Linked DNA regions of Pelodiscus sinensis. The protein of the gene in region 4 purifies or fractionates together with the protein of the main gene of each other region. This does not show direct contact. Links are inferred from orthologs where the notes say so. Each region holds a gene or a part of one and is shown on either strand. Other genes may lie near its edges.

Region 1 (7,501 bases), on a different chromosome or scaffold from region 4:
TGTGACTGTTTCCATCACTGTTGGTTTAAAGCATCCCAAATCTATTAATGGTTAAAACCCACTCTCACACACATTTGTGGACCAAGATATTATCATTAATTGCAGCTCCCTGTACTGACAGAAAGGAGACCTTTAATTTTGGATAAATTATAGACCAAAGTCTGCTTTCTGTTATATCACTGTAAACCTGGAGTAACCCAGTAATCCCATGGCCTTCAAGCTAATAACATATGGACATAAGAGAAAGCAGAATATACCCCCAAATCACAAACTATGGTTCTTTGCCACTTGCTGCATCCACTTTATGACTCACTTGTTGACATTATTATTAATTGTATCTATTACTGTAGCATTTTGGAATCCCAATCCCATTATATTAGGCATGTACCATAAAAAAAGAGACATTCCTTTCCCCAAATAGCTTCAGAGTCTAGGCCTCAGATAGGATTCAACAGAGTGGATGATACAGACACACAGCTGGGTAGATGTGGAATTAAGAAGGAAAAGACACAACTAAACAAATGGATCTCCTCATAAAAAAAGCTGTCAGCTCACCACTTGCCAAACCTGTGCCAGATAGTAGTGATTTGTAGGCAACATGATAGAAGTAGGTTTAAGGATGGATTTTAAGGGGGGATTTCTCCCATACATAGGTAAAGCTCTGGGAAAAATATGGAGGTATCTGAAGAACGAGTGGCCCAGGCTGGCACAATTGGAAGCAGCAATTAAATGGTTAATAATCACACTTGAAAGTTCAAAGCTGGAAAAGTCATTGCAAGAAAAAACACGGTATAAATTAGCCTAAGAAATAACTCTATAGGTACAATACGCTTTATTTACATTAGGTTACATTTTGCTGTCAGTTACACATGTGTAGAGTTAGAAGGACTCCATTGGTTTTAATGGAAATTATGCAGTTACACCAGTGTACCTGAGAACAAATTATAGCTTGTTACATTGCAATCATATTTAGTGCAAATATTAGAGACAAAAATATAATACTTTATTTCTTTACAAATATGTGTATAGGGCAATAAATGTATAACATGTTTGTGCCACCTACTGGTAAAATAGGCCTGTCCATTTCTCTTGTTAAACTATTACCACTTGCAACTGATGAGAAAAACACAACAAAGCAAAATTCTGAGGCTACGTCTAGACTGCAGCGCTATTTCGGGGTACCAGAGGTATCTGGAAATAGCTATTTGCGTCTTTTGAGCACAATGTTATTTCCAAATATAATGGGCTTGCTATTCCGATGTCCCTGTAAACCTCATTCCACAAGGAGTAAGGGACATTTCAGAATAGTGATTTATTTTGAAATAAATGCTATGTAGATAGCTTATTTTGAAATTTTGCGCTATTTCAAAATTGACTCAAAATAAGCTACGTAATTTGTGTAGTTCAAATTGCGTAGCTTATTTCGAGCTATGGGTGCAGTGTAGATAAACCCTTAGGCTATGTCTACACTGGCGGGTTGTTGCGCCAGAAGTATGCAAATGAGGCTAAGCGTGGAATATCGCCGAGCCTCATTTGCATACCTAATGAGCCGCCATTTTTGCAGAAGAGGCTCTTGCGCTAGAAGGAGCTGTCTACACTGCCCCTTCTTGCGCAAGAAAAACCCTCTTGCGCAATGCCGTTATTCCTGAAAATAATCAGCGTAGCGGCATTGTGCAAGAGGGTTTTTCTTGTGCAAGAAGGGGCAGTATAGACAGCTCCTTCTAGCGCAAGAGCCGCTTCTGCAAAAATGGCGGCTCATTAGATATGCAAATGAGGCTTGGCGATATTCCATGCTTAGTCTCAATTGCATAACTCTGGTGCAAGATCACACCAGTGTAGACATAGCCTTAGTGACTTGCAAATTCACAAACCCAATAGGGGTATAATGGCAGAAGTTAGCTAATAGAATAGTTTAGTTTTGTATTAGTTATTTTAGGTTAAGATGTTTGTGAACTGTAACTTACGTTTGGACTCCTCCTTTTTTTGGTAAATTTTGAACAAATGAACTAATTTAGATTTGGGTCATCAAAGAAATCATAGCCTGAAAAAAAATTTGGATTTGAACATAGTAGGAGTGAATAGAAGCAATGTGTAATGAGGTGCACTCTTAAGGGATGTGGTAGTTTGTTTTCATATTGTTTTGGTTTTGTGATTCTATAGGATTGCTAATTGGAATGATTGTATTGGTTTAAATACGTTTTCAATAAAAATAAATATAGGAAAAGAATGTCTGGCTGAGAACATTTATTTGGAACACTACATGAAGCTCTGATCAGCTGCTTTGTAGCATGAAATCATAAGACGATTAGGGTTCGAAGAGACCTCAGGAATCATCTGGTCCAAGCCCCTGCTCAAAGTAGGTCTAACCCCAATTAAATCATTCCAGCCAGGGCTTTGTCAAAATTGGCCTTAAAAACCTCTAACGATGGGGAGAGATTCCACAAGTTTCCTAAGTAACCCATTCCAGTGCTTCACTTACCACCTACCCTCCTAATGAAATAGTTTTTCCTAATATGTGTAACCCTTCTGCCAGGTAGCACCAGCAGCAGCCAGGGCCTGGTTCAATATCTAGGGGTTCCTCTCCATCCATCCAACACAGAACTGGCTTGATCCCCCACCTAGTAACCTGGGAAATTCACACAACACCCCTGGGCGCCTATAGAAGGCAATGCTTCCCCACTCACAAGCACATAGTCTGGGTGTAGTAAAGAAACCTTTAATATAAGAGGCAGGAAGTAACGTGGCATTAATTTAGGAAAACACCACAGAGTACATAAGAAGACACCACAAACAGAGTTCATAACTGTAGTAAGTTCAGGGTCAGTAACATGGAGTCAGCAGGCCTGAATAAAGGCCTACAACATGAAAACAGCAACAGACCTAGAATCTAGTGACCAAGACTTTGGTTCAGTAACACAGGAGCTAAGAAAGAGGCCCTATTGATAATTGTGTGATTGTGTAAATTAGGTCAAGCATGGAAGGATATGGGGAGGCACAGGGGATAGATTGTAATCCAGAGGGGAGTAACAGAACATCTCAATAAGAAACGTCTTGGTACCAAAGACTCCACAAAAACTAATGTATATACCGACCTAGGTTCAGGACTGGGTTGAAGTTGACAGCATGAAAGATAGTAAGTAAGCTCCCCTTCTGCAAGGTGAGGGGTGGTAACTAGACAACAGAGGGTGGCAACCTGGTATGTAAAGAAGTGATGTAAGTTGTTTGTACATATTTATAAAAGGGCATCGCAAACAGTAAGCACCGACTGACCCTGGTGGGGGGGGGGTGCTTTATGCACTTTTGTAAGCAGGGGCGTTATCAACACTTACAGAATGCACAGTGGAGTAACGTGGGGACTTTCTGCTGACAACTGTTAATGCATAAAGCACCCCCCCCCACCAGGGTCAGTCGGTGCTTACTGTTTTTTGTAACTGGAATTAACCCCCCACCCTATCACCAACCCCTTTATGATGAACCCTTTTTATGGGCCCTAGCACGTAACTGCTGACTGCCTCCCCTTCAGGAGGCTTGCACTCAAGGGTGCCAAGGACATGCAGCTACTCTGAACCCTACTGTTGGAGGAGGAGGCTCTCGATCCGCCTGTGGAGCGCAGTTCTGTGCTCCACTATACGAGCAGGGTTACAGTCTGGCTAAAGATTTGCCAATTGTCAGAAAAATAACTTCCTAGGCTGGGGGGGCTTTTTGTAACGTGGCTCTGCAATGTTGCTTTATCCTGGCAGTCCACGGAGAGCTCCTGTGTGAACGGTTCAGCGTCCAGCTAGAGGGGCTGGTGCCCCCCTGAGGGGGGGGGGGGTCGCTAGGGGCGCAGGCCTTTCGCGTTTCAAAGGTTGCGAATCGATGAGGTGGGCTCAGGCTCGAGGGCAGCTCTGGGCTCCGTTCTCCGGGGCGGGGTCAGACGAGGCGGGGCGGGGCCGGCGGTTTCCGGGCCTCAGGCTATGCGGGGGGCGCGGGGGTCCTGCGGGCTACGCGGAGGGGCGGTTCTGGGCTGGGGTCCGCAGGGCTCGGGGCCAGCGCGCTCTGTGGGGGCGGGGGAGGGAGCCGCTAACATGGCGGCGCGAGGCTGCTTGGCGCCCCACGCCCCGCAGGCGGCGCTGCCTCTCACACGCGGGGATGCAAACCGTCGCCGACCCTTTCCCGGGCCGCAGCGATTCCCCCCGCCCCCTCAATGGACTGATCCACTCCCTGAGACGGGCGGTGAGACCACGGTCCGCCAATGACGGTAAAGCAGGAGGAGGGGGGGGGATCTGGACGCGCTCACTGACTGGGAAAGGGGAGCTGGATCCGCCCGTTCGCTGCGGCCACGGACAGTGCCTGTCCCCTCGGGGCAGTGAGCGGCTGGCACGCAGCGCCGCCCTCCGCGAAGCGAACAGGGGGGAGGGGCCATGTGCTAGTGCAGGGGCGGTCAGGACATGAGGTACGCGAGGTTGGTTCCCCCTCCGGGTGAGATGGTGTCTCCCAACATGTCTCCCGGCGGGAGGTGGAGCCCGCCCCGCCCCCGCCCTCCCCCCTTCTCCGCGTTGGTTCCGCTCGCAGCAGGATTTAGCCGCCGCCTGCCTGCCGCCGTCTCCGCTCGCGCCGCTTGCACTGAGGGGCCCGTGGACGTTTTCTCTTTGCCTTAAAGTCGGTGAGGCGCGGGCCGGGCGCGGGGCCCGCCGGGGGCAGCGGGCGGGGCGGGGCGGGTTAGTGCGGGGCCTGGTGGCCCCCCCGGCCCGCCGGGTAACAAAGCCGCGGCCTGTGACGGGGGGGGGGGCGGTGAGCGCGGCCCGGCGAGACGCGGCGCCCCCAGCCCCGCTTCCGCCGGCTCCAGAGCGTCTGCAGCGGCCGCCTCTGCGAGGGAGGCCCGGTGGGTGCCGAGCCCCGCGGCGAGAGGAGGGCGCGTGGGGCCCGGGGCTGCCCCGTTCCCGCTCGGGCGGGGCGCGGCGGGAGGCTGGGTCTCGGGAGTCGCCTCACGGCTGCTGTCCCGCCCGCGCTGGGTGCCTGCGTGCGGCCTGCTGCGGGGAACCGTCTCGTGTCCGCGGGGCTGGATCTCGATACCCCCCCCCCGCTTCTCCCTGTGCTCTGCCCGATCCCCTTGTCTGACACAGGGAAACTGAGGCACCAGGGAGCGCTTGGCTCAAGGTCACGTAGCAGCTAAAAGTTCACCTGCGCCCTAAAGTTATCCTGTGGTATCTTTTTTTTTTTTTTTTTAATGAGACTAATTTGTCTTTGCCTAACAGCTAATAAATACTCCCTGGCATGAGTGAAAATGTCCTATGATCTCAGGTGCTTTAACATTGTGGATGTTCTTAACCAACAGGCAGGCTGGCGAAGTAGCAGAGCGGGCTTTTCTGTGTGGACTGTTTCCACCGGCAGATGTGTATTCGCTACTGTACACGTGCTTATGAATTAAAGCATCGCGTAGGAATCATTTGCCTCTTAATGAGATTGTCAAGAATTTTTTCTTTTTTTGGTACAGGGTGTCTTTTTTATGAATAATCAAAAGCAGCAGAAGCCAACGCTATCAGGCCAGCGTTTTAAAACTAGAAAAAGAGGTAAATATTAACTATTTTTGTTTCTAGCTCATGGCCAACTCTGTAGAAAAGCTGTTTTCCCTTATTGACTGAGTAAGCAATGAAAATTCTGTTGACTAATCTATTAGTAAAGGAACCAACCTCATTTTAACTTCCTTAGGTCACCCAATCACTTCCCAACTCTGCTCTAGTTCCATGTTCTCATTGCAGCCCCCAGCTTCCGACATTGGCTGTGGCTCCAGGGAAAGCCAGGAGTGGAGCTTCACTTGTCCTTGCACCCCTGTCACTTCCCTTTCTTTTCTCCCCATCTCTTAAGCTGTGGCCTTGCTCCCAGTCCTTGGGGCAGAGAATGCAAAAGTGTGTCCCTCAAAAGTGTGGGGACCGCATCTCTAATCTTTTAAGAACATAGCTATCATATAAGCATGGGTAAATAAAAACCTAAAAGTTAACCATGAAGTAAATTTTTTACACCAGAAAAAATATACTCTGTTGCAAGCTAAATCCTTTAAAATGTGCCTTGCACCATAAAAACAGCTTAAATTCTGATTACTCTCTGTTGAGGAAAAATAATACTTTGAGGTCGTAGGTGCAGTTGTATATCAGGGACCTTATTTTGCTCTGTCAACTTCTTGAATGTGGGGAAGGTGCTTACTTTCTCCAGAAGGCTGGCTAGCTCATGCTTTTCAGTACTCTAGTGATTTCTCATTCTGTCCATAGTGACTATGAAAGCATCTGATTTTAGATCATGAATTCACCAGATTTGTCTCAAGTACAGGGAAATTAGGAATTAAATCAGTGATTGGGTGATCTTTGTCCCATCAGAGTTCTGTTTGGCCTCCAAGACATTTTGTTTTCTATTGGTCACACATGGGGTTCCTTGATTTTGTCTGCATAAGTGACGCGCAAAAAGCCAGTGCTGATTGCATGCATGCCTTGCTGTCAGAGCTATGTGCTCCCTCTGTATCCAATCATAGTGCCATATGGTTCAATCAGTACACCTTGCAAGTTCTAGGTACTCAGCTGTAGCTAGCAAAACTTCCCTATCCTGGGAGACTGTTTTGGTTAACAATCTTGCAAGACTGGAGGGCTGCTCATGCGGTCCACTCGCTAGTCTCAGTTGCCTGTCACTGACTTAAATTGTTTGCAGTAATAATGATAAAATTCATGATTGCATCAAAGTACAGACAATATTTTTTTTTTTTCTGGCTCAAATTTAGATGTGTTATTGGATGAAACACTGGTGAAGTGGAAAAATAGGGCTTTATTTTTGCATACACAATATTTCTAACTTCATTATCTTCCAAACATTGCTTCAATTTAAGTCTGTATTCTCACCTACCGGTGACTTTGCTACCTCCGTTCGTCTTGTAGATGGCTGTTCAATAAAAGATTGCCTCTTTTCCCAGGGGGTGTGTGTGTACTATTGAGACTAATAGCTGTGTATAGATATATGTACATAGCTGTGTTGGCACAGATGCAGGTTTTTCCATAGATGTAGGAATGCAGCCTCCTCAAAAGTTAGCTGTCAGTGGAAACATGCTTCATTCTCATAACTGCATCTATACGTATGCTTAGGATGGCATAGCTATGTCAGTGAGAGGTGTGAAATGACTCGAGCTGGAAAAGCAATTGAATGAAACATTTGGGAGGACTTGATGGATTTAAAGCCCCTACCACTTTTCTTTGTAGGAATCTCCCATCTAGTTGACAAAGAATAACTGACATGTTCAGGTCAAATAGCTAATGCCAGCCTCGTGTATTTATATTAAATGAATGGCAAACTTCCTGTCTGCATTCGCTATTTCTGACTTCCCTGGTCAACTCGTAGTTTTGAAACTGTTGCCAGTTTCCTTAATGAATGAATTCATGAAATTGGAAGATGCTGATACAGAACATTGACAGTATTATCTTAAAATTAGGCTTATCAAATGCTTTCTTCTATTGCAGATGAGAAAGAGAGGTTTGACCCT
Region 2 (6,943 bases), on a different chromosome or scaffold from region 4:
GGTGATGTACTAAGGAGCTGTCTATGGTAAATAAGCAAGTACAGGTGGATCACTTTAGACACATGGGCTATGTCTACATTGGCACGATCTTGCGCAAAAGCTCTTTAGGGCAAGCGTTCTCACGTTAAAGTAGTTGTGCAAGAGTGTCTGCGTTGGCCAGGGCTCATTGTCAGAGCGATGCACTTTTGTACAAGAGAGCGTCTACATTGGCTGGACGCTCTTGCGCAAAAGCATTAGCCCAGAACCACTTTGGAGAGGGCAAAAGGGCACCAGGCCTTTCCGGGGTGGAAGTGGGGGCTGGAGCTCCTTCGAGACATGCTTAAAGGGATCTCCCTGGACAGCCGTTTCTCTCCTGCTGCGTGCTTTAGTACCTCTAGCAGGGACTGTCAGCCATAGCAGTTCTAGTAGTGGTTGCCCTCTGCCTTCTTGGACACCACAGCTTGTGCCTTCATGCCATTTGGTGATTTTTTGCTGTCAGCTCTTTTGCTGTGCCATGGAGCCAGGGGTGGCCTTGTGCCTGCTCTGGCCCCTTCCAGCCATCTTGGAGAGCCTCAGCTGCTGCTCCATGCTGCTGCACTCCAGGACCTTGAGGTGCAGGTCGCTCTGGACTCCCTCACCATGGAGGCGGAGGCGTTCCTGTGGCATCCCCACCTCACCGTGGAGAGGCCATTGTAGAGACTGGACACCAGTACTGACTGGTGGGACCGGCTGGTCCTGGGGCAATAGGATGACCAGCAATGGCTCCGGAACTTTCGGATGAGAAAGCAGACATTCCTGGAGCTATGTGCCTGGCTCACCCCTGCGCTCCAGAGAAGCACCACCCAGCTGCAGGCACCCATCCCCGTGGACAAGAGGGTCGCCATTGCCATCTGGAAGCTGGCCACCCTGGACAGCTACCGATTGGTGGCACACCAGTTCGGGGTGGACAGATCAACCATCGGTGCTGTCGTCATGCAGGTAAGTCCTTGGGGGGGGGGGGGGACGACGAAGGTGCTGCATGCCATGCCATGGGGCAGGCAAGACTCCAGACTGGGGTGATGGGGAGAGTGGGGCGATGCCCTGTCACCCAGGGGTTTGGGCCATCCCTCCCTTGCACAAGCCTGCTGGTGGGGGGAGGGGCGAAGGGGTGGCCTGTGGGGGCCCTGGTGTGTGAGAGGACAGAGGGCATCACAAGGGGGGGTGGAAACCCCCCAAGGAAGCATGCACTCAACCTGCCTTATGTGATGTGTTCCCTTGTGTTTCTGTGCACCCTTCTACATGACGTCCTGCTTCAGCGAGTCATTCGCCTGCGGGATGTAACGGTGGCCGGCTTTGCTGCCCTAGGGTTCCCCAACTGCGGGGGAGCCCTGGATGCAACCCACATCCCCCTCTGTGCCCCGGAGTATTGAGCGGCCCATTTCATCAACCGCAAGGGGCACTTCTCCATCGTGCTCCAGGCCCTCATGGACCACCATGGCTGCCTCATGGACATTTATGCGGGCTGGTCCGGCAGGGCACACGACGCCCGCATTCTACGACACTCCAGCCTGTTTTGCAGGCTGGAGGCAGGCACTTTCTTCCCGCAGCAGGAATTTACACTGTGCCAACCCCCTGCTGCCCTGGTTGATGTGGCCCTACATGGGGCAGACAGACCACAACCGGGCACAATTCAATGACCGCCTCAACCAGGTCGACTGTGCCTTTGGCCGTCTGAAGGCCCGGTTTTGTTGTTTGCTCACCAGTCTTGAGATGGTAGAGTGGAACATACCCGAAGTAGTGGCCGCGTGCTGTGTGCTCCACAACATAGTGGAGCATAGGGGGGAGGCCTTCCTCCCGGCATGGATGGCAGATGAGGGCCAGGCCTTTGAACAGCCATGCACAGGTGCCATCTGCCAGGCTCACCATGATGGGGTGCACATCCAGGAGGCCCGACGGAGATGTTCTCCCAGGCCCCACAATAGGGTCGCCTCTGTCTCCCTTTACATCTCCATCCCATCCCCAACCCTTACTTCCCCCCTTCCCCTTACCTCCCAATAAACAACACAGTTTTTTGTGGAAAACAACACATTGAACTTTTTATTTACAATGGGGACGTAGGGTGGGAGAAAGGAGGGGGCTCTGAACTGGGAGGGAGAGGAGGGAGCTACTGCTGGGAGGGGTGGCCCCTGCAACTGCCTCTGCGGTGGCAGACAACTGCATAGTGTTCAGGCCGCATCGGGGCAGGCAGCTCAGTCACCAGGCTGCATGTGGTTGCACGTGCTGCATACTGGTACACAGTGTGCAGCTCACGCTGCCTGAGTGACCCCCCCCCCCGCCCTTGTGAGTGCAAAGTGCAACACTTACCAGTGGATCCTTCCCTGGCCTCTGATGACATGCTGGAGACGTCCAGGCTGCCTGATAGCATTTCGAGCTGCAGGGCGATGGTGCTCCCCTGGTCATCCTCGTCCTCCTCCGACCCAGCGGGCAGTTCTGCCTCGTCCCCTGCCTTGCTGTGCCTGGTGACGGGGGCACCTGCTGGTGTCCACGGGCACCAAGGGTCCCTGGGGTGCCACCTCGCCCAGGATGGCAATGAGACGCTTGTAATAGGGTCAGCTCCTGCCCCTTGGTCCTCGCTGGCCTGGTGATAGCCCAGACACAGCTCCTTTACTTTGGCCCGGACCTGTTCGAAAGTCTGGGCTGGGTGGCCCTGGTGGGAGAGCACCTGGGCCATGCGGCGGAATATGTCTGCATTCCTCCAATGGGCACAGGGGTCATGGAGGGCCAGAGGTCCAACAGGCCCTTGATCTCCACAGAGGACCAGGATGGGGTGCCCCTCTTTGTGCCCCTTGGGGCCTCCTGAGCTGGGGGTGTGGGTTGCTGGTGCCTCCCTGGAGTGGCCATCCTGGGTGGTGCTGGTGGCTGAAGGAGCAGAGCCGCGTAGGAGAGCTCGGTGGCAGAGGTGTGTCTGCCACGTGGCCTCTGCAGGCTGCATGTGCCTTTAAGGGGGCTCAGGTTACCAGGAAGTCCAGAGTGGTGACTGCACGTACAGAGCGTCCAAGCAGCCACCAGAGCTTTTTTCTGTTTGGCTGGCTCTTGCGCAAAATCTCTTGGCTGCCTGTCTACACTGGCCTCTTGCGCAAGAACAGTTGCACAAAAGGGCTTATTCCTGAGCGGGAGCGTCAGAGTTCTGGCGCAAGAAGCCTTGGTTTTATACGTCAGAACGTCAGTTTACTTGTTCAAGAACGCGCGGCCAGTGTAGACAGGCAGCAAGTTTTTGCGCAAGAGCGGCCGCTTTTGCGCGGGAGATGGCGCCAGTGCAGACACAGCCAAGGTCTTTGAGGTTTACTGGGCTGCCTATTGCAGCTTTGGAACTGACTTCAGGGGAACAATAGTGGCATGGTTCAGTGGGGTCCCCTCATTTACTACTTGATTGCACTGGTAAGTCCATTTGTGCAGCAGAATTTAGCAATTCAAGTTTTTGTTTCAAACTGAAGCTGGGGTGCCCTGTGGTTTATGAAACATGGGTGGAGATTCCGACTGCGAGGGTGGACCAGCTGGGCGTTCATTGTGCCAGACAGGGGACAAAATGTTAGGCCCAACCAGCTGCTTTCCAGGGCTTTTCACTCCCTTCTGTTTCCACGAGAAGCCGGGTGATCACTTCTGAGAAAATGTCCCGCGCAGGCTCCGGACACGGGGCTTGACAGCAGGTTTAAAACAACGGCTCCGTAGGGGCCCAGCGGCTCCGCCGGAAGCGCCTCCTCCACGCTGGCTGGGCCCAGGCTGCTCATTACCCGGTTTCTAGTCCAGAAAATTGCCCCCCCCCCATGTGCGACGCGGCCCCCTCGGCGAGACGGGCGGGCCCCGCGGGGGGTCGGACAGGCCGGGCCGGGCGTGTGTCGGCGCCGCGGGCCCGGGCCTGGGGCGCGGTCCGTGCCTCAGTTTCCCGGGGAGGCGGGAGGGAGCGGGGCTGGCTCAGGGCCAGGCCTCGAGCTCGGGCATCTCCTTGGTAACGAGCGCCACCTGCGGGCCGGAGCGCGGGTGGGGTGACCCGGAAGTGAACCCGCGAGCACTTCCGCGGCCAGACCGGCGCGATGGCGGCCGACACGCAGGTGGGTGCGCGGGGGGCGGGGGCTGGGCCCCGCCGCGCGGTGGAGGCGGCCCCGGGAGAGCGGCTCCTGCCGCCCGTCCGCCGCGCGCGGTTCCCGCTCACTGGGCCGGGCCGGCTCCCGGGGAGGGGACGTGGCAGTTGTGTCAGCGCCCCCGAGCCGCCCGGGGCTTTTCTCCAGCCCCAGGCCGCCCGCGCCGGGCCCTCGCCTGCCCCAAGGCAGCCTCGTGTCATGGGGGGGCGGCCCCGCGGCCGGAGCCCGGCCTGCCCGAGCCTCACAGCCGGGCCTCTCCGCGCTGGGCCAGGCGCAGGGGACGCAGTTCGGGGCCGGCCCAGCGTGTGACACCCGTGCGAGAAAGGGGCCCGATGAAATCGACGGGTTTTGTTCAGTATTCGGGCCACAAAATGGCAAATGAAGTTTAATGTTGGTGAATGTAAAAGTAACGCGCATTGGAAGAAATAACCCCAACTATTTGTACAATAGGGTGGGGACTGATTGAGCTACAAATACTGGAGGGAGCGATCTTGGTGTCATTGTGGATAGTTTCTCTGAAAACATCCACTCAGTGTGCAGCGACAGTCAAAACAAACAAACAAAAAAAAGCAAACAGGATGTTAGGAATCCTTTAAAAAAGAGAGAGAATAAAACTGGGAATATTTGATTGGCTCTATATAAAACCGTGGAATGCCCACATCTTGCCTATTGTGTACAAATGTGATTGCCTCATCTCAAAAAAGTTATATTGCCATTGGAAAAGGTTCAGAAAGGGGCAACAAAAATGATGAGGGTGTTTTGAACCGGTCCCATATTTAGGGAGTTTAAAAAGACTTGGACTTTTCAGTTTAGAAAAGAGGAGACTAAGTGGGGATGTGATAGACTCTATAAAATCATGACTGGTGTGGAAAAAGTGAATAAGGAAAAGTTATTTCCTTATTCCTACAATATAAGAACTAGGGGTCACCAATTGAAGTTAATAGGCAGCAGGTTTTAAACAAACAAAAGGAAGATTTCCTTCATTCAGTGCACAGTCAACCCGTGGACCTGCCAGAGGATGTGAAGACTGGGAAGTTAGCAGGGTTCAAAAAAGAGCTAGATAGATTCATGGAGGTTAGATCCATCAATGCCTATTAGCCAGGATGGGTAGAAATGATGTCCCTAAGCCTCTGTTTGTCTGGAAATAGATAACAGGAGAGGGATCATATGTGATTACGTGTTGTATTTCCTCCCTCTGGGGAATCTGGTGTTGGCCACCGTCAGCAGATAGGTGGACCTTTGGTCTGACCTAGTATGGCCGTTCTTATGTTATGTAAACTGTTACGTAAACTGAACTGGTTCTTCTAAGTAGTCTTGGCCATCATCCCAGCCACTTGAGAGCTTACATACATTTTATGATTTTAGTATCATTATTGTATATTTTAAACAATTTTTTGTTGTTGCCATATAAAGCTTTCACACAAATTGTAGACAAAATTCACTGCTTCTGTAAGGGAATCAGTGAGACTGGCTATATGGAAGACCCATTAAACATAATGTGAAAAAATATCGCTATATATTTTTCTTTAGTCCTTCTGTTACTCTAATCTTAATTGCTCATTGGCAGGGTTCACCAAGTGGCGGCGAGCCCCACTCGCCAGCCGTGCGGTTCTGCGCATGCGCAGATCGCTGTGCGCCGGCTCTTCTGGGTTGTAATCTACTTGCCATGGGTGAGTGGGTAGAGCTAGTGTGCTGGCTCCTCATAAGTGCTGGCTCCTGTGGAGCCACCTACCTCTGTGCTGTTATCTCTGATATAGAGGTAGCAGCATGGGGTGGAGGAGTTGGCTTGTTGAGAAGCCAGCTTTCAAGCTCACTTACTGGCTCCCTCTGAGCCATACTGTTCCCTTTCTCTGGGTTGCGGCCTCTGAATCAGAGGCATCAGCCTGGGGGAGGGCAGAAGGCAGGATCCTTAAGTCTACTCCCCATGCATTCTGGCTACTGGTGAGCTGACTGCCCTCCCACCTCTGACGCAGAGGCAGCATAGGTGTGTGTGTGAGAACAGGAGCCAGTGCTTGCGGGGAGCCGGTTTTAAAGTCAGATACCCATGAGCACTGCCTCCCCCCCCAGCATGTAATTTCAGCAGATACACATTTGCACAAACAAATTTTAACATACCTAACTAGAACAGCCTAGAACAAATTTTTTTATACATGTTTTACAAAACTTATTAAAGTTTTAATTCTTTTAAAAATTAAGGAATTGTTAATACTGAGAATGGAATTTAAACATCCTTCTTCAGCTAGGTTAGATGTAAAGAGCATAAAAGGTGAAACAAAAAATTAACAATCAAATCTCCACTTGTGTGATAACATAGGAAAGAGTTTTTATAAATAGGATGTGACTTTTTAAACCTGATAGATGTTTCAGTTAAAAAAGAAACTAACCTCCTCAAACTCCATGAACACGTGACTGGTTCCTGTTAAGGTACAAAGAGAAACCTTTCATTTGTTAGCCCTCTTATACAATTTCATAACAACCAGAGATGTGAAAGTTTAATCAGTGGGGGGCTAGAGCAGCTCCCTGCCCACCACAGGCCGAGGGCTGCTCCAGCCCAGTGGGGGCCCAGGCTAGAGCAGGCCCAGGCTGGAGCAGCCCCTGCCTGTTGTGGAGGACCTGCTCTAGCCTGGCTGTGGTGGGTTGGGGGAATGCTCCAGCACCGTTGTGCTGGAGTGGCCACCCACCCATCCCGTTTAATTGGTTAACCACTTAAACAGGATTTTACATCCCTAATAACTGAGGCTCTGAAATCATAAGTGAAATACTCAAGATATGGATTAAAGTATGTAGCATAGACCAATGTTTCTCAACCTTTTTTTGTAAAGTACCCTTTACAAAACAATAGTACC
Region 3 (7,568 bases), on a different chromosome or scaffold from region 4:
TCCCCCAGCCACTGACCAATCTCCACCGGTCAGCCCCGCTCCCCCGACGACCCTCCCCCACCAGTCCTGCTGCCCCCGTCCAGCCCTGCTTCTGGCACCTGATTCTCCCATCCTCCTCCTCCTGATCTCCCCCGGGCAGCTCTCCCTCCTCCCATGCAGTCCTGGTTCCGCCGCCTGCCCTCTCCGATAGCCGCCGGCGGACAGCCCCGCTACCCCCAACCCTGCTTCTGCCTCCCACCTGCCCGCCGCCCCCCCAATCTCTGCGGGACAGCCCCACTCCCCCAACCCTGCTTCCGCCCACCGCCCGCCCACATACCCAGATCTCCACGGGACAGCCCCGCGCCCCCAACCCTGCTTCTGCCTCCCACCTGCCCGCCGCCCCCCCACATCCACAGAAATTCATCTTGTGAATTTCTAGGGACTCTGCATATGGCCAGGAATGAGCAATGAACTTGATTTTGAAATGCAAATAAATGCTTCTCTTGCATTTGGATCACCCAATCACTGTGCAACAGGCATCTCTTCTGAACTCCTTCAAGCCTTTTATTTAAAAGAAAAAAAAAGATCGATGCTTCTGCACAATAGCCTTTACCTGATAATTCAAGCACAACCTCGGCTCCATTCCACCCTACTTATTTCTGTTCCACTGCTCACAGTCCATCTCACAGTCCATCTCCATAGCATTTTACAAGAGCTCACAGTATAGAATTTTCTTCTATGCACAGAGTTTAAAGTAACTGAAATCTCTCTAGGGGAGGTTTTGGATCTCTCGGTGATCTCTACAGGCCAGTGCATATCTGTGGCATTGGTGTAGTGCAGCGTGCTGCTTACAATTCCATCGTCCAGGAATGGAATACCTGTAACCATATATGCCCTACCCAGAGCCCTCCTTGCCCTGGACATGGATTAGAATGCTCATTGCTCTCCTTACCCCAAATAAACTCGTTTGTCATGACGAAACTTCCTGTTAGTCATGTCACCATGGTCCCGGATAATCTTCCTCACATGTTCTGGGGGCATGTCCTCCTTCTGGGCATCCACAAAACCAAACTTCCTCTTCTCAGCATACCGCTTTGCCTGCAGCTGCTGCCATTTGCGGGCTACACAAACAAGAACACACACAGTCCAGTCCAACCAGAGCACCATCATAAAAGAGACTCCAAATCAACATGAGCCCAAAATTACATGGATAGTGAATGTACAGAGCTCTACTAGTAATGCAAAAAGTATTTTGAACAGGGTACAAATCTTTATGCATCAGAGTTTATACCATCTCTAACCCCACCAGGGAGCAGGAAAAGGCACTCTCACACCTGCCTACAGTTGGCCTCTTGCACCGTGCTCTGAGTTATGTAGTGCTGGAGACAGGACACTGGCCCAGAAGGACCCCTGCTGTTATCCAGTCAGGCAGTTCTCTATTCCTGTGCAACCACCACCTTTGCATTCACATTCTCCTCCGATTCTCCCAATGATGCCTGGCGTATCGCACTGGCAAGAGCAAAGAGTTGCAAGAATCATAGACTAACAGCTGTGATTATAATTGCTATGTTGTTTACTCTGAACAGAGTTTTACTGCTAAAATACATGCAACTGACAGCAGTCTGCTTAGGGCAGTCTCACAGGTTGCAACAGAATAGTGAGAAAAACCCAGCAAAACAAAGTAGGGCAAATGCTCATGCACCATAAATCAAATGAACTGAACAGCTTAGTGAGCAGAATACGATGTCTGACATAACACAACCAAAGGACACAGAATTCACTGTGGGGCACAGAGCCTGCCTGGCCTTTGCCTAGCTGTTGCATGGACCTGGGACCTCTCTGTCACCGCTTCCAGGAGTGCATAACCCACAAACCCTGTCTGGGACACATTTCAATAAGCTCTTGCACCTTTCTCCTGCAGCTTCTCTTCAGACATGTAGTCGGGCAGTGGAGCCAAGGGACTGGGCACTGGGGCACAGCCCCCGCGGTAGGGAAACACTCCAGCCATGGAGAGGCAGGCTAAGAACCAAGGGGAGGAAGGAAGAGCAGGCTCAGGTTAGTCAATGCCCGCCACAGAGCGGAAACACACCCAACGTCACAGCCCTCTTCTCCCGCCCCCCGCCGCCACCAGCGACCCCCACACACCCCGCCCCCTCCTCCCGACCCCCCCGCACACCCCGCTCCCTACACCCCGACCCCCCCGCCCCTCCTCCCGACCCCCCCGCACACCCCGCTCCCTACACCCCGCCCCCCGCCCCCTCCTCCCGACCCCCCCGCACACCCCGCCCCCTCCTCCCGACCCCCCCGCACACCCCGCTCCCTACACCCCGCCCCCCCGCACACCCCGCTCCCTACACCCCGACCCCCCCGCCCCTCCTCCCGACCCCCCCGCACACCCCGCTCCCTACACCCCGACCCCCCCGCCCCTCCTCCCGACCCCCCCGCACACCCCGCTCTCTACACCCCGACCCCCCCGCACACCCCGCTCCCTACACCCTGACCCCCCCGCCCCCTCCTCCCGACCCCCTCGCACACCCCGCTCCCTACACCCTGACCCCCCCGCCCCCTCCTCCCGACCCCCTCGCACACCCCGCTCCCTACACCCCGACCCCCCGCCCCTCCTCCCGACCCCCCCGCACACCCCGCTCTCTACACCCCGACCCCCCCCGCACACCCCGCTCCCTACACCCTGACCCCCCCGCCCCCTCCTCCCGACCCCCCCGCACACCCCGCTCCCTACACCCTGACCCCCCCGCCCCCTCCTCCCGCCCCCCCCGCACGCCCCGCCCCCTCCTTCCGACCCCCCCGCACACCCCGCTCCCTACACCCCGACCCCCCCGCACACCCCGCTCCCCACACCCCGCCCCCTCCCCCCGCACCTGTCTCCGCTCAGGCCCCTCGTGCCTCGCCCCGCGGCCTCCCGCTTCCCACCCGCAATGGCGGCCCCCGAGCGTCGCTGCAGCGCTCCAAGGACCCGGATGGGCTGAGGGGGCGGGGCCAGTGGGCGCTCTGACCATTCAGCTCTCGGGCTGGTGACAGGTGGGCTCTCCAGCCTATGAGCATCCGCGACCGGCTAGGAGGCGGGTCCGGCCAGCGGAAAGGGCGGGGCTTGCTAGGTCAGGCGCGCGGGTTTTCTTCCGGTCGGAGACCCTCCCACAGCTCGTGTGGAGCCACGCCCCCTGCAGGCCACGCCCCCATGCGTGGCTGGCCGCTGTTGCCCCTGGACCCTAACGATGGCGCCAGTGGGCTGCGGGCCCTGCCCTGGGCTGGTGGAGGCTCCCAGCAGGCACCAGAGCCGGGCCGCTGCCGCCATCCCTGGGCAGGGGCGGGCGCAGCCGGAGCCGCTCAGCCCAGGCGCCATCTGCCCGCCCCCGGCAGCCGCCCAACGGCCCATTTACTGCACCAGCTGCTGCCTGGCCGGCCGGGCCCCACCGCAGCCCCCGTGCCCGTCGGGCCTGGCCTCCCGCGGCTGCGCTCTGCTTTGTCCTCGCCTGCCGCCCTTCGCACGTGGCACTGACCTGCTGCTCTGAGCGGGACGGCCGGGCCGCACCCGAGAGCCAAGGCCTGGGCATGCCAGGGCCAGCGGCGCATTCAGAAGCTCTGCGGGGTCGGGTCGGGTGGGCGGTGCCTTTCTTAAGGGTTCATCGCACATGCACAGGTTCACCCGACTCCTGCACCCCGTAGGGGCACGGACAGACTCCGCCAGCCAGTAGAACAGGGGGAGTTTATCGCTTCTCCAAGGATGCAGCACAGCACAGATGGAATCAGGTTACAGGGCAGGCCTAGGATGCCTCAGCCCCCTTGAGATGGGGGTGACTGGGCCCCTAATTCCCAGGCCCTTGCTTAGGCTGCTTCCTCCATCATGCCAGACAGAAACTGACCCTCTTCCAGCCTTGCCCCCCAGACAGGGGTAGGTCTCCGCCTTCCTCCCTTTGTCTCTCTCCCTGGGAGGGGACCTGTCGGACAGGTTGGGAGACCCTTGCCTAGTGACTCATCCGCTGTCCTGTTGGGCCGTGCTACAAATAGCCGCCAGTGGAGGTCACCCACTGCCCAAGCCCAGCAACCAGCAAGGCCCCCCCCCCCCCCGTACCACACTGGGTTGTAGAGCAGACAGCACCCCCACTACGTCACAATCACCTTCTCAGCTTTGACTGTCACTGGGCCTGAGCACCTGCTCTCAGAGAATTGGCCACCAGGATGCCAAGATCTTTTTTTTGAGTGGTAGCAGCAGCTAATTTAGACCCCATCATTTCCTATGTCAGGGTTACTCACCTTTGGAAGCCCTGTGGGCCATAATGATACTCATAGCACCATAGGCATGCGCACGGGGTGTACCAGCTGTGCCCAGGCACACCCTAATGTCTTGGGCCAGCTAGCAGCTGCTGAAGGAGGAGGGGGACTTGAGCTGGGGAGCCGCAGCCCCTAACTTTCCCTGCGGCCATCTATGGGGCACTTTAGGGCAGAGAGAGCATGTGCGCAGAGGACTACAGACCACCCCTGTCCTTCCAGCCCCGTCCTCGGCCAGCCCGGCAGCACTGTGCAGCACCCCTCCTGCGCCCCGGGTCCCAGACACGGCCCCACCCAGCCAGGCAGCACTGCATGGCGCCCCTTAAAGTGAGGCACCCAGGGCTAGGGCCTGGCTGGCCTGTAGCTGGGGCCGGCTCTGACTCCAGCCCCACAAACTGGAAGACAGAAGCCAGCTTAGCCAAAGGTAAGGTAAGATAAGGGAGAGGAGGGGAAGGGGGAAAATTAGGGGGCAGAGGTGAGAGAGGAAGGGGCTTGTGCTGAGAGGAGGGGGGCAGGTCAAGAGAAGAAAGGGGAAGGCACCAAGGGACAGGGTAGAGGAGAGACAAATGCCAGGGGGCCAAGTGCAGACAATGAGGAAAAGGGCAGGAGGGGAGGTGTTAGTGGGAAAGGAGACAGGGTGATGCTGGGAGAGGAGAGGGTAAGGGCTTTGGGGGTTAGAGGGAGGAGGGGGAGGTGCTGGGAAAAGGCATGAAAGAAGGGGTGGGTATGAGGCAGGGATAGAGCAAGACGTGTGAGGGCACAGGGGCATGAGGAGAATGGGGGCAGAGGGTGGTGAGGGGTTGAGTATTAGGGGCAAAGGGGGCAGGGGCAGTAAGGGAAGGGGAGGCACCAGGAGGGTGCAGGGCTAAGGGAAGGTGCAGGTGCCAGGGGATTCTGGGGTGAAGCAGAAGGGCAGACACCTGCAGGGGAGGGACCAGCACCAGAGGAGAGAGGCAGGGCAGGTGTAGAGGGAGGTGTTAGGAGAGGTGATGAGGACGGGTAGCTCTAGGGTTACCAGGTGTCCGGTATTGTACCAGACAGTCCGGTATTTGCACGCTCTGTCCAGTAAAAAAAATGAGAAAATACCAGACACGTGCAACGTGCGGTATTTTCTGATTTTTCCGGCTGCGCACCGGACAGAAGCCTGGCGTGTGCGGGGGAGAGCGGCTGGGAGGCGGGGCCGCGATTGCCACCAGGAGCCCTCAGTCGGTTGAGTGTGAGGAGGAGGGGGAGCCTCCTCCTCACTCGTGAGTCGCCAGGAGCCTGCGCGGGACAGGCAGCAAGTGCCCAGGTCAGTCCTGCTCCCCGCCGACCAATTTGCTCACCCCCCCCTTCTCAGCTGGCTGTTTCTCCCTCACTTCCCCTCCTGATCTTCCCCGACCAGCCCCCCTGCACCCTCCCCAGCTCTGCTTCCCGCCGTCCCGTTCCTCTTCCTGATCTCCCCCAGCCAGGGCCGCTGCACTGCCCCCCCGCCAGCTCTGCTTCCTGCCCCCCTTTCTCCCAGCCACCCTCACGGCCCCTGATCCCCCCAGCTGTGCTTCCCGCCCCCCCTTACTTGCAGCCATCCCTGCCCCCTCCCAGCCGGTCCCCCCTCCCCTGATATTCTGCGTCCAGCCCCGTTCCACCCGGCCCCCCTCCCCACAACCAGCCCTGCTTCCTGTTGGCCCCCCCATCTCCTCCGGCCAGCCCTGTTGCCCCACCATTAGCTGTTTCCAGGCCCCCCCATCTCCTCCCCTCCCCGGCCAGCACCACTCCCTTCCTAGCCAGTCCTCCTCCCCCTCACCCCCCCCCCCCGAAGCATATCCGGATTTTTGGGTTTTTTTTAAATGAGTACCTGGTAACCCCTAGCAGTGATCCAGGTCCTTGGAGTCTATTTTTTTTTCCACTCAACAACTTTGGTGTCCCCCCTTTTTTTTCCTTCAACAAAATTTTTCCCCGTCTTTTTTTTTGGGGGGGGGGGTTCAGTATTTTTTTTTCAGCCATCTGGCAACCCTAGGTAGCTCACATGAGTAGAGTGGGGCTACTGGAGGAGTGGGCACAGGGGGGAGAGAAGGACTGGTGGAGGGGGGCAGGTTGCAGGAAGGCTGAGGGCAGTGAGAAGGGCAGGAGTCAGGACAGCAGAGGGAGCAGCAGGCACCAGGGGAGCTGATGGAGCAAGGGGAGCCACGGCAGCAGAGGGAAAAGGTAAAGGGTTATAAGATATTTATTAATAACTTGGGTGGCACATTGAAACAAGCCACATGAACTCAGTACTGGTGCACAACACAAAATTCATTCTGCTCATGGGAGGAAACTTTTAGAGGGACACTTCCCCCAGCCTCTCTGCTCCCGAATTAATGTCACACACATTGGGGTAATGCAATTGCAGGATAGTTGCATACAGGGGTGGATGAGAGTGCTGTGGGGCCCAGGGCAGTGCCGCGGGGCCCAGGGCAGTGCCGCAGGGCCCCGGGCAGCAAAATTTCACGGCCCCCCCCTTTGACACAGCGCATGCGCCGTGGTGCCAAGGTGCATGCGCGGGGCCTCGGGAAGTGCGGGGCTCAGGGCAGCCGCCCCGCTCGCCCTGCCCTAAATCCGCCGCTGGTTGCATAAGGGGAGCTTGGTGGGGGCCAAATTAATTCCTGTTGGTAGGAGGATGGTGGAAAAAGTCCTTGGGGGGGTCACATGACACCTTTTACTTCTGGTCATGTGTCACCTCCGGAGGTGTGGCCAATAGGGGTCAGGGGCGTGGCTAATGGGGATCAAAGTACATTTAAAAAAAATTCTCTGGGTGCACATCCCAATGAAATGTGCTGTGCATGCATATGCAGCTCACGTGTGGTTGCAGATATATGCAGACAGCTTCTTTCGCACTGACAGGCATGAACACAAAGATGAAGGCAACACTACACAACACGCAGGCCCCATTTCAGTCAGTTCTGCTGATATTAATAAAATGCAACATTCCCCCATTTCCGCCCTTACAACAGCACTTGGAATGAGCAATGACAGTCTAGGAATGTAACTACTAAAACGCATCTCAACAGAAGACCGTTATATTGACGACTTTTTTGTTTTGGCTCCCACCTGCGGGCTGTGAGAGCCCCACGTAAACCCAGACTGCACCACGGGCCGCAAACAAACAGGCCACATGCGGTTCACAGGCTGCATGAGTAGCCCTGGCCTATGTAAGGGAAGTCAGGGCCCATAGAGACACTTAGACACCCCCCAACTGCAGCTACCCCCTTCTCATTGGTTTGCACTGATGAGCTCATTGTGGGAACAAACCAGAGAGGAAACCCAGCCCTGAGGCTCATCCCCAT
Region 4 (7,749 bases):
AGTTGCAGACTCTGCAGCATAAGCTTATAAGCCTTATACTGCAGAGCCCACAGCACAGCTGGCTCCCCGGGAATGGGGCTAGCAGCTGGAGTAAGAGGCAGTGCTCACTGGGAGTGGTTTACACACCCAATGGCCCCAGCTCTTAGCTGCTGGCCCCACTCCTAGGGAGCCTGCTGCTGCCTTGTGCTGCAGGCTCTGATACTTCAGAGCCCACAGCTTGGAGCAGCAGCCGGCTCCCCGGGAGAAGGCCAACAGCTGGGAGCCAGCAGGCACTGGGAGTTGACTTGCTGACTGTGCTGAGGGCTCTGCAGTATAAGCCTTATACCACAGAACACATAGCACAAGGCTTACATACCTAGTGTACGTAAATCTTCAGTAACAGTGTAGTCAATTAACCAATTAAGCAATAAGCAAAAGTTTATAGGTTAATGCTATAGACTACATGCATTTCCCACTGCTACCTAGTACAATTTTTAGGAGGCTGGCCAGTAGCCTGTCTCAGTCCTGGCTTGCACCGAGTCTGGGACCTATCCCCGCTGTGGCTCTGCATTTAAAGTGTATTAGGAAGTAAGCAGGCAGGAGCTCAGACCTACCCTTCACCCAAGACAGGAGCTGCTGCCACTCCTGTATAAGAAGCAGCATCATAGCGTGACAGGCAGTCAGTCCATGAGGGGAGGTGGTTTTTAAACTGGCTCCCTTCGCAGACCAGCTTCTGCCTGGCCCTGAGCACTGCTGCCTCTGTATCAGAGGCAGCAACATGGAGTGGCAGGGTGATCCTCAGGAGTGGGGCTGGATTACACTGGCTGCTGGCCCTGCCCCTGGGGACTATAGAATAGTCGAGTAATCGATGAGAATTCATAAGTTACTCGACTATTCAACTAACTGACATTTAACATCCCTACTTCAGACTGCATTGTGACTAACTTGAAGCTCTGAAATTTGGACTGAGATATGTCAAGGGAATGTTTAGCTCTTTCTAAAAAATTAAAAAGTCTTCTCTGCATAATAATATAGTGAGAGAGGGGAGTATGATAAGACACCATTTGCTATAAGTTAGCATCACAAGTAACATTGCTATGATGTAAAAATAATCACTGGCAATTTTCCCATGACCATCATTTAGCTACACATGTTTACTGTGAACCAGTCACCACAGATGATAGCAGCCCTCAGAGGTGATGGGTCTTTAGGTCACCATCCCCTGAGAAGATAAAGATGAAGAGGAGAGAGTATCTTTGGATGTCTGAGAAGATAGGAGAATACAAGTCTTGCCTAATAGAGGGAATTGTTTGTGCTTGTTAGGTCAGGATATGATCAAACTTTAGTTATGTAAAGGATCAAATATTTGCTTTGTCAGAAATGCTTCTTACCATAGGAGTGCAAGCTATACTTAGCCTCACCCTCCCTCATAGGAAGCAGGTAAAGCAGACTGCAGACAGGAACACTTTTCAGCACACAGGGACCCATGTGGCTCTGGCCAACTGTCCACGTTGCAGTGAACAGCAGCCTGCAAGCGAGAACAACTCCCAGCGCGCACGACCCGTGGGGATACGAGCCACCTACTTATGCTGCACACTGGAGACACCAGGCTGCAGAAGAACCAGTTCCAACAGGTCCCTGCCCATTCATGCACACAGGGACCACTACCAGCACACAGGCACTCATATGGATCTAAGACCCCTGGTTATGCTGCACACTGTGAACCTCAGCCTACAGCAGAACCAGCTCCTGTACACAGGGCCTGTACAGATCTGTGCTCCTTGTTGATGCTATGGGGGAGGGAGGGCAGACTACATATGGGACAGCTCCCAACACACAAAAGGCTGATGTGGATTTGGGTTCTCTGCCCATGCTACATACTAGGGACCCTAGACTGCAGTGAGAACAGCTCTCCACACACAGAATACTAAATACTCTAAATACTGAGAGCCCCAGACTAGAGAGGGGACAGCTCCCCGCACACAGGGCCCATGAGGATCAGAGCCCCTGCCCATGCCACACACTAGGGGCCCCACGCTGCAGAGGGGGCAGCTCCCCGCACACAGGGCCCATGAGGATCAGAGCCCCTGCCCATGCCACACACTAGGGGCCCCATGCTGCAGAGGGGGCAGCTCCCCGCACACAGGGCCCATGAGGATCAGAGCCCCTGCCCATGCCACACACTAGGGGCCCCATGCTGCAGAGGGGGCAGCTCCCCGCACACAGGGCCCATGAGGATCAGAGCCCCTGCCCATGCCACACACTAGGGGCCCCACGCTGCAGAGGGAGCAGCTCCCCGCACACAGGGCCCATGAGGATCAGAGCCCCTGCCCATGCCACACACTAGGGGCCCCACGCTGCAGAGGGGGCAGCTCCCCGCACACAGGGCCCATGAGGATCAGAGCCCCTGCCCATGCCACACACTAGGGGCCCCATGCTGCAGAGGGGGCAGCTCCCCGCACACAGGGCCCATGAGGATCAGAGCCCCTGCCCATGCCACACACTAGGGGCCCCACGCTGCAGAGGGGGCAGCTCCCCGCACACAGGGCCCATGAGGATCCGAGCCCCGCCCCCTGGGGCCCGCGAATGCTGAGCTAGGGGGGGAGGGGCGGTAGAGAACCCCAGGCGCATAAAAGTAGTTCAGACTATGCCGACAACACGCTCCGCGCATGCGCACAACCCCCATCCACCCCATTTCAGCGCATGCGCGCCACTGCCCCTTCTCGCTGCGGAGCGGCGTCTCAGCGGCTAGGCCCGCGGCGGGAAGCGGCCCCTACCTCGGTGTTTCGCCACACGCCCCCTTTGATCATAATCCGCGGCATCTTGGCGGCGGAGGCGAGCGGGCTCCAGAAGAAAAGAGTCGGCGGAGGCGCGGTAGAGACACCCCTCTTCGCGCTACGGCCGGTTGAGATCCTGCGCAGGCGCCGTGGGGGCGAGGGCGGAGGGAATGTGTCAAAACTCCGAGCCGACGGGCCGTTAGCTCGTGGCTCGAAGCTGCACGCAGGCGCGTTGAGAGGGCACGCGGCGCCCGCTAGTGGGCGGATGACAAACGCTGCGCGTGCGCAGCTCCTGTGAAGGACGAGGGAGGGGGAGACGGAATAGCTGGCACAGGCCGGGGGAGAATTGTCACAGCGCCACCTGGTGCCTGGAGGTGCTGCGGGCACAGAACCCCGCCGGCTGGTGCAAGCTGCCGACACTAGGGGCTGGAAAAGGGACGCGGCGGAGGCGGGTAGGAGGGAGTGGGGCTGGGGCTGATCCCGCACGTGGGAGCCTCGTGGGACGGTGGGCGCAGGAGGGGGAGTGTGTGGGTTTATAAAGCAAAGTGAGGCTGTCCAGGGGAGTGTTTCTTGGGACGGGGGGAGGGTTGGGGAGTTGTCCTTCTGTCTGACTTTGCAGGGGTGGTCTTTTGGGACTGCGGTGGGGGAGCAGTCCGTCTGTGCAAGGGGGGGTCCCTTAGGATGAGGGGGTGGGAAGCTGTCTGTCCGTCTGTGCAAGGGGGGGTGTCCCTTAGGATGAGGGGGTGGGAAGCTGTCTGTCCGTCTGTGCAAGGGGCGGCGGATCCCTTAGGATGAGGGTGGGAAGCTGTCTGTCCGTCTGTGCAACGAGGGGGTGTCTCTTAGGATGAGGGGGTGGGAAGCTGTCTGTCCTTCTGTGCAACGAGGGGGTGTCTCTTAGGATGAGGGGGTGGGAAGCTGTCCATCTGTGCAATGGGGGGGTCCCCTAGGATGAGGGGCTGGGAAGCTGTCTGTCCGTCTGTGCAACGGACGGGGGGCCCTTCGGATGAGGGGGTGGGAAGCTGTCCATCTGTGCAACAGGGGGGTCCCCTAGGATGAGGGAGTGGTAAGCTTTCTGTCCATCTGTGCAAGGGGGGGATGTCCCTTAGGATGAGGGGGTGGAAGCTGTCTGTCTGTCTGTGCAAGGGGGGTATCTCTTGGGAGGGTGGGTGGAAAGCTGTCTGTCTATCATCTGTGTATATTGTGTCTCTTCAGGAGGGGAGCCTGTGCAGGTGAGATCTCCGGATCTGTCTGCGGTTCAGTGGCTCTTGGGGGGGGGAAGTTGTCTGTGATGGTGGGTACCTCTTGGGCTGGGGGAAGGGAGCTGTTCATCTCTCTGTGGAGGTGGGTGTCTCCTGGGGCTAGGAGCTGTTTGTGCAGGTGGGCGTCTCTCAGGATAGGGTGGTGAGGAGCTGTCTGAAGGTGAGGCAGTGCTTTGGGGTGGGGAGCTGTCTGTGGAGGCAGAACTATGCTTTGGTATGGCAGTGTGTGGAAGTGAAGTGCCTGTCTGTAAAGAAAGTGTCCCTTGGGTTGAAGTGGGATGCATGTGTGCATTGCTGAGATTGCCCTAGGCTGGTTTCCCATTCCACATTGCGTTTGCAGAGCTGGTAGTCAAGGAAGCCACCTTTTCCTTACAAAGGGAGCCTTAGACAAGCACTTCCATAGAGACAATGAGTAGTCCTGTGGCACCTTACAGACTGACAAATATATATATAGTATTGCGAGCTTTAGTTGACAAAACCCACTTCTTCAGATGAGTGAGTTTTGCCTACGAAAACTCATGATACTATATATATTTTTGTTAATCGATAAGGTGCCACAGGACTACTCATTTTTAAAGTTACAGACCAACACAACGACCCCTCTGAGATGTCCATAGAAGAGAGCCACATCAGAAATCTGAACTGGAGCATTCTGTAGAGGTTTCAGAGGGCATCTGGGAGAAGATGATACTCTATTAATTCAAAATATGGATCTTCTTCCAGACCCTGCGGCAGTCTTCACTATCAGTGGCTCATTCAACAGCCAATACAAAAAGCAGGGGTCATACCACAATCTTAAGTCAATTTGGGACAAGAATGACTTTTACACATTTTTACTGCTTTAAAAATGTTTTCTTCTCCCTCGTTGCTGTATGAAAGATCCACACAGAGGAAACAGACTATCTGTACCCAACTGCTGTCAAATACACCAATTAAACTGGAAAAATAAAGGAAATATTTTTCTTTCATGTGCATTAATTAAACTTGCATTAAATGTAATTATAGATTTAACAAAGTATTATTGTGCCTCTAATTTTACAATACAGGTACATGGTAAAGTTTGGTTGATATAGTGACATCCATGCTCACCTGAAGCCAGATTTAAGGTGTTTGAATTTTTACATTTTAAGCATTTGGACCTTTTCCTAACTTGGTCCTTTCATCACAACACACAGCTATATGTATTACACTGGTTAAGCTCTAAGAAGGCTGCACCTATACATTTTTTCACAACTACGCAGCAGTAATAGAGGAAAAACAAACAGCTGACGCAAGTACAGTAGTACCACTAAGAGAAACAGGAACTGTAATCCAGTTAAGGTTGCTCTTCTTCCCTTTTCTAGCATCTCCAGACCCAACACTGTGTAGGGGAGACCTCCTGTCTGGTGCACCAGAGCCTATGCAGTCCCATACTTCTCAACCATGTGAGTTACGACAAAAGGAAGTGCTGGCAGGAGCCAGCTAGAAACTCAACCAGGAAGAGCAAAGGAAAACAGCTGCAGCAGCAACCTGTAGATGTCAGCAACTTCTTGCTGGTTTTTACAGCATTTACACTGCAGTACTTGCCTCTGTAATGGCAGTCTATTGGCTTCTGCTTCCCTATTCCTGCTCATTTACTCCATCTTCATTCTCAGCTCCCATTATTTCTTCTCCTCCTTAAATGTCAATTTTTTACCTTTTTTAGCCAATCTGCTTTCAACAACATAACTCCATCCCACTATTAAGAAAAACCTTATTGCTGACATCTCATTGTTTACTAAGATTAGATATTATTCTTTGTCTTGCTTATTTACAGTGTAAACTCTTTAGAGCAGGGCGACTCTTATTCTGCATGTACAATACCTAGCACACTTGTATCTTGTTCCTAATGTGGTCCCTAGGTGCTGCCATATAATTGCCAAATAATTAATATGAGTGTGGTGTATTTAAAACTGTGTAAACTGCCCCTGCCGCAACCATGTCTCCTCTCCTCAGACTACACTTTCACATGTTACCGTGTTTACTGAAGAAGTAAAGGAAGACCCAACTTGTGCAGAAGAAAGTTTTGGTGAAGAAGAGGATGTTCTTTTCTCAAACATGATTCAAACAACATATGTGTCTGACAATAGGTAGAACTCTGGTGGTGTCTTTCCACTGAAACATGAAACCAAGGTTCTGGGTAGTAGTGAGTCATGATGAGTAGTTTGGGGAAGAGTAGGGCTTCATCTTGGACAAATTAAAAATGTGGGTGATTGAGGCTGGCCTATCCCAGATTGTTCCTGAAATTTCATCAGGGTATGATAAACCTCATAGTGTTAAAAAAATAGCACAATGGACACTGGCATCATTGGTGGCTGAGGTATCCACCTGTGTAAAAATTATTTGCTATCCCTCTAATGAAGAAACTGTTCTTTTTGAGCATAAGATATTTCTGCAACTTGCAAGTTCACATGATTACAAATTAGCCAAAGTGTTTTAGCCATTTGGAAACCACCCAGATTTAAGATATACTTGCTTTCCCATGTTATCAGTGGTAGGCCATGTAATCACTCTTTGACTCAGTTTCCCCATCAGTAAAAAGAGTGACCAGATGTCCCATTTTTTAAAGGTCTGTCCTGTATTTATGCCCTCCTACAGTTGTCTTGACCTTTTCTTAAAAATGGGCAAATTGTTCTGTATTTCGTGTCTCCTTCCCATCAGTTACGGTGGGTCCAGCTGTATGGGCTGGCTGGATCCCTGCTTGCCAGCTACTTACGCAAAAGCAGTGGGAAGGGGTCCAATGGCCAACAATAGAGGTGGGTTTGCAAAGCTGGAGGGCGGGGGGTAGCTTGCTCTCCCAGCTTGTCTGTCAGTGCAGCTCTTGCTGCATGCTGGTTCTCAATCAGCAGAGCCGCATCCCCCATCTAGCTGGCATTGGCTGCAGTAGTTGATGAATGCAGGCAGGTGCCAGAAGGTTCTATTTACATGCTGCCCAGCCCTCACCCACTTCTGGGTCCTGCTTCATTCCCTAGGTGCCCTCCTTTGCAAAGCCACCTCTCTGGCTGGTTTTGCTGAAGCCTCTGCTGCCAGGTTCCTGAGCCCTAGCGCTCAAAGCAGTCTTAGGTCTTAACCCCTTCCTGCCTGCACTGTAGGCAGGGGGCAGGAGGCAGCTGGGTTATGTTGGTGGCAAACAGAAGCCTGAAAGTATTAGCTGCTTTTGACACTATGGGCAGGAAAGGACAAGTTGCTCCTAAACATAGGAGCAGTGGCAGGGGAAGAGATGAGCGCTGCCAGATTATCCCTTCCCCCATCCCGAGGTGGAAATAGCTTCTGTCCCTTGCTTCCCACACAGCGCCTAAGAACTGCAGCTGGCTGCATTCTGGGGTGAACATTAGCAGAAAGCTGTGAAGGCAGCATGTGACTTTACATGCCTCACCCCCCCTATTTCCCAAAGAAGACGCTGTGCCAAATACCAGGGCTACGTCTACACTGGCCCCTTTTCCGGAAGGGGCATGTAAATTTCACCAGTCGTCGTAGGGAAATCCGCGGGGGATTTAAATATCCCCCGCGGCATTTAAATAAAAATGTCCGCCGCTTTTTTCCGGCTTTTAAAAAAGCCGGAAAAGAGCGTCTACACTGGCCCCGATCCTCCGGAAAAAGTGCCCTTTTCCGGAGGGTCTTATTCCTACTTTGAAGTAGGAATAAGACCCTCCGGAAAAGGGCACTTTTTCCGGAGGATCGGGGCCAGTGTAGACGCTCTTTTCCGGCTTTTTTAA

What was found.
Region 1: the proteins of CDC5L (region 4) and BZW1 purify together in Homo sapiens (affinity purification with mass spectrometry; 3 studies listed by BioGRID and IntAct, with this or other methods). This does not show direct contact. The link is inferred for Pelodiscus sinensis from reciprocal best matches to the Homo sapiens genes CDC5L and BZW1.
Region 2: the proteins of CDC5L (region 4) and GCN1 purify together in Homo sapiens (affinity purification with mass spectrometry; 3 studies listed by BioGRID and IntAct, with this or other methods). This does not show direct contact. The link is inferred for Pelodiscus sinensis from reciprocal best matches to the Homo sapiens genes CDC5L and GCN1.
Region 3: the proteins of CDC5L (region 4) and PRPF8 fractionate together in Homo sapiens (co-fractionation; 5 studies listed by BioGRID and IntAct, with this or other methods). This does not show direct contact. The link is inferred for Pelodiscus sinensis from reciprocal best matches to the Homo sapiens genes CDC5L and PRPF8.

The regions. Positions count from the first base shown.
Region 1 is NC_134717.1:73,488,204-73,495,704, forward strand, and holds the start of BZW1 (eIF5-mimic protein 2), read left to right. Parts: upstream 1-4,492; 5' UTR 4,493-4,645; intron 4,646-4,731; exon of another isoform or gene 4,732-4,864; intron 4,865-5,476; 5' UTR 5,477-5,488; coding exon 5,489-5,552; intron 5,553-7,478; coding exon 7,479-7,501. UniProt on the Homo sapiens protein: Translation initiation regulator which represses repeat-associated non-AUG (RAN) initiated translation probably by acting as a competitive inhibitor of eukaryotic translation initiation factor 5 (EIF5) function.
Region 2 is NC_134725.1:9,279,783-9,286,725, forward strand, and holds the start of GCN1 (stalled ribosome sensor GCN1), read left to right. Parts: upstream 1-3,924; 5' UTR 3,925-4,049; coding exon 4,050-4,067; intron 4,068-6,943. UniProt on the Homo sapiens protein: Ribosome collision sensor that plays a key role in the RNF14-RNF25 translation quality control pathway, a pathway that takes place when a ribosome has stalled during translation, and which promotes ubiquitination and degradation of translation factors on stalled ribosomes.
Region 3 is NC_134731.1:1,006,381-1,013,948, reverse strand, and holds the start of PRPF8 (pre-mRNA-processing-splicing factor 8), read right to left. Parts: upstream 3,012-7,568; 5' UTR 2,859-3,011; intron 1,999-2,858; 5' UTR 1,988-1,998; coding exon 1,888-1,987; intron 1,101-1,887; coding exon 932-1,100; intron 1-931. UniProt on the Homo sapiens protein: Plays a role in pre-mRNA splicing as core component of precatalytic, catalytic and postcatalytic spliceosomal complexes, both of the predominant U2-type spliceosome and the minor U12-type spliceosome.
Region 4 is NC_134713.1:10,745,686-10,753,434, reverse strand, and holds the start of CDC5L (cell division cycle 5-like protein), read right to left. Parts: upstream 3,019-7,749; 5' UTR 2,802-3,018; coding exon 2,757-2,801; intron 1-2,756.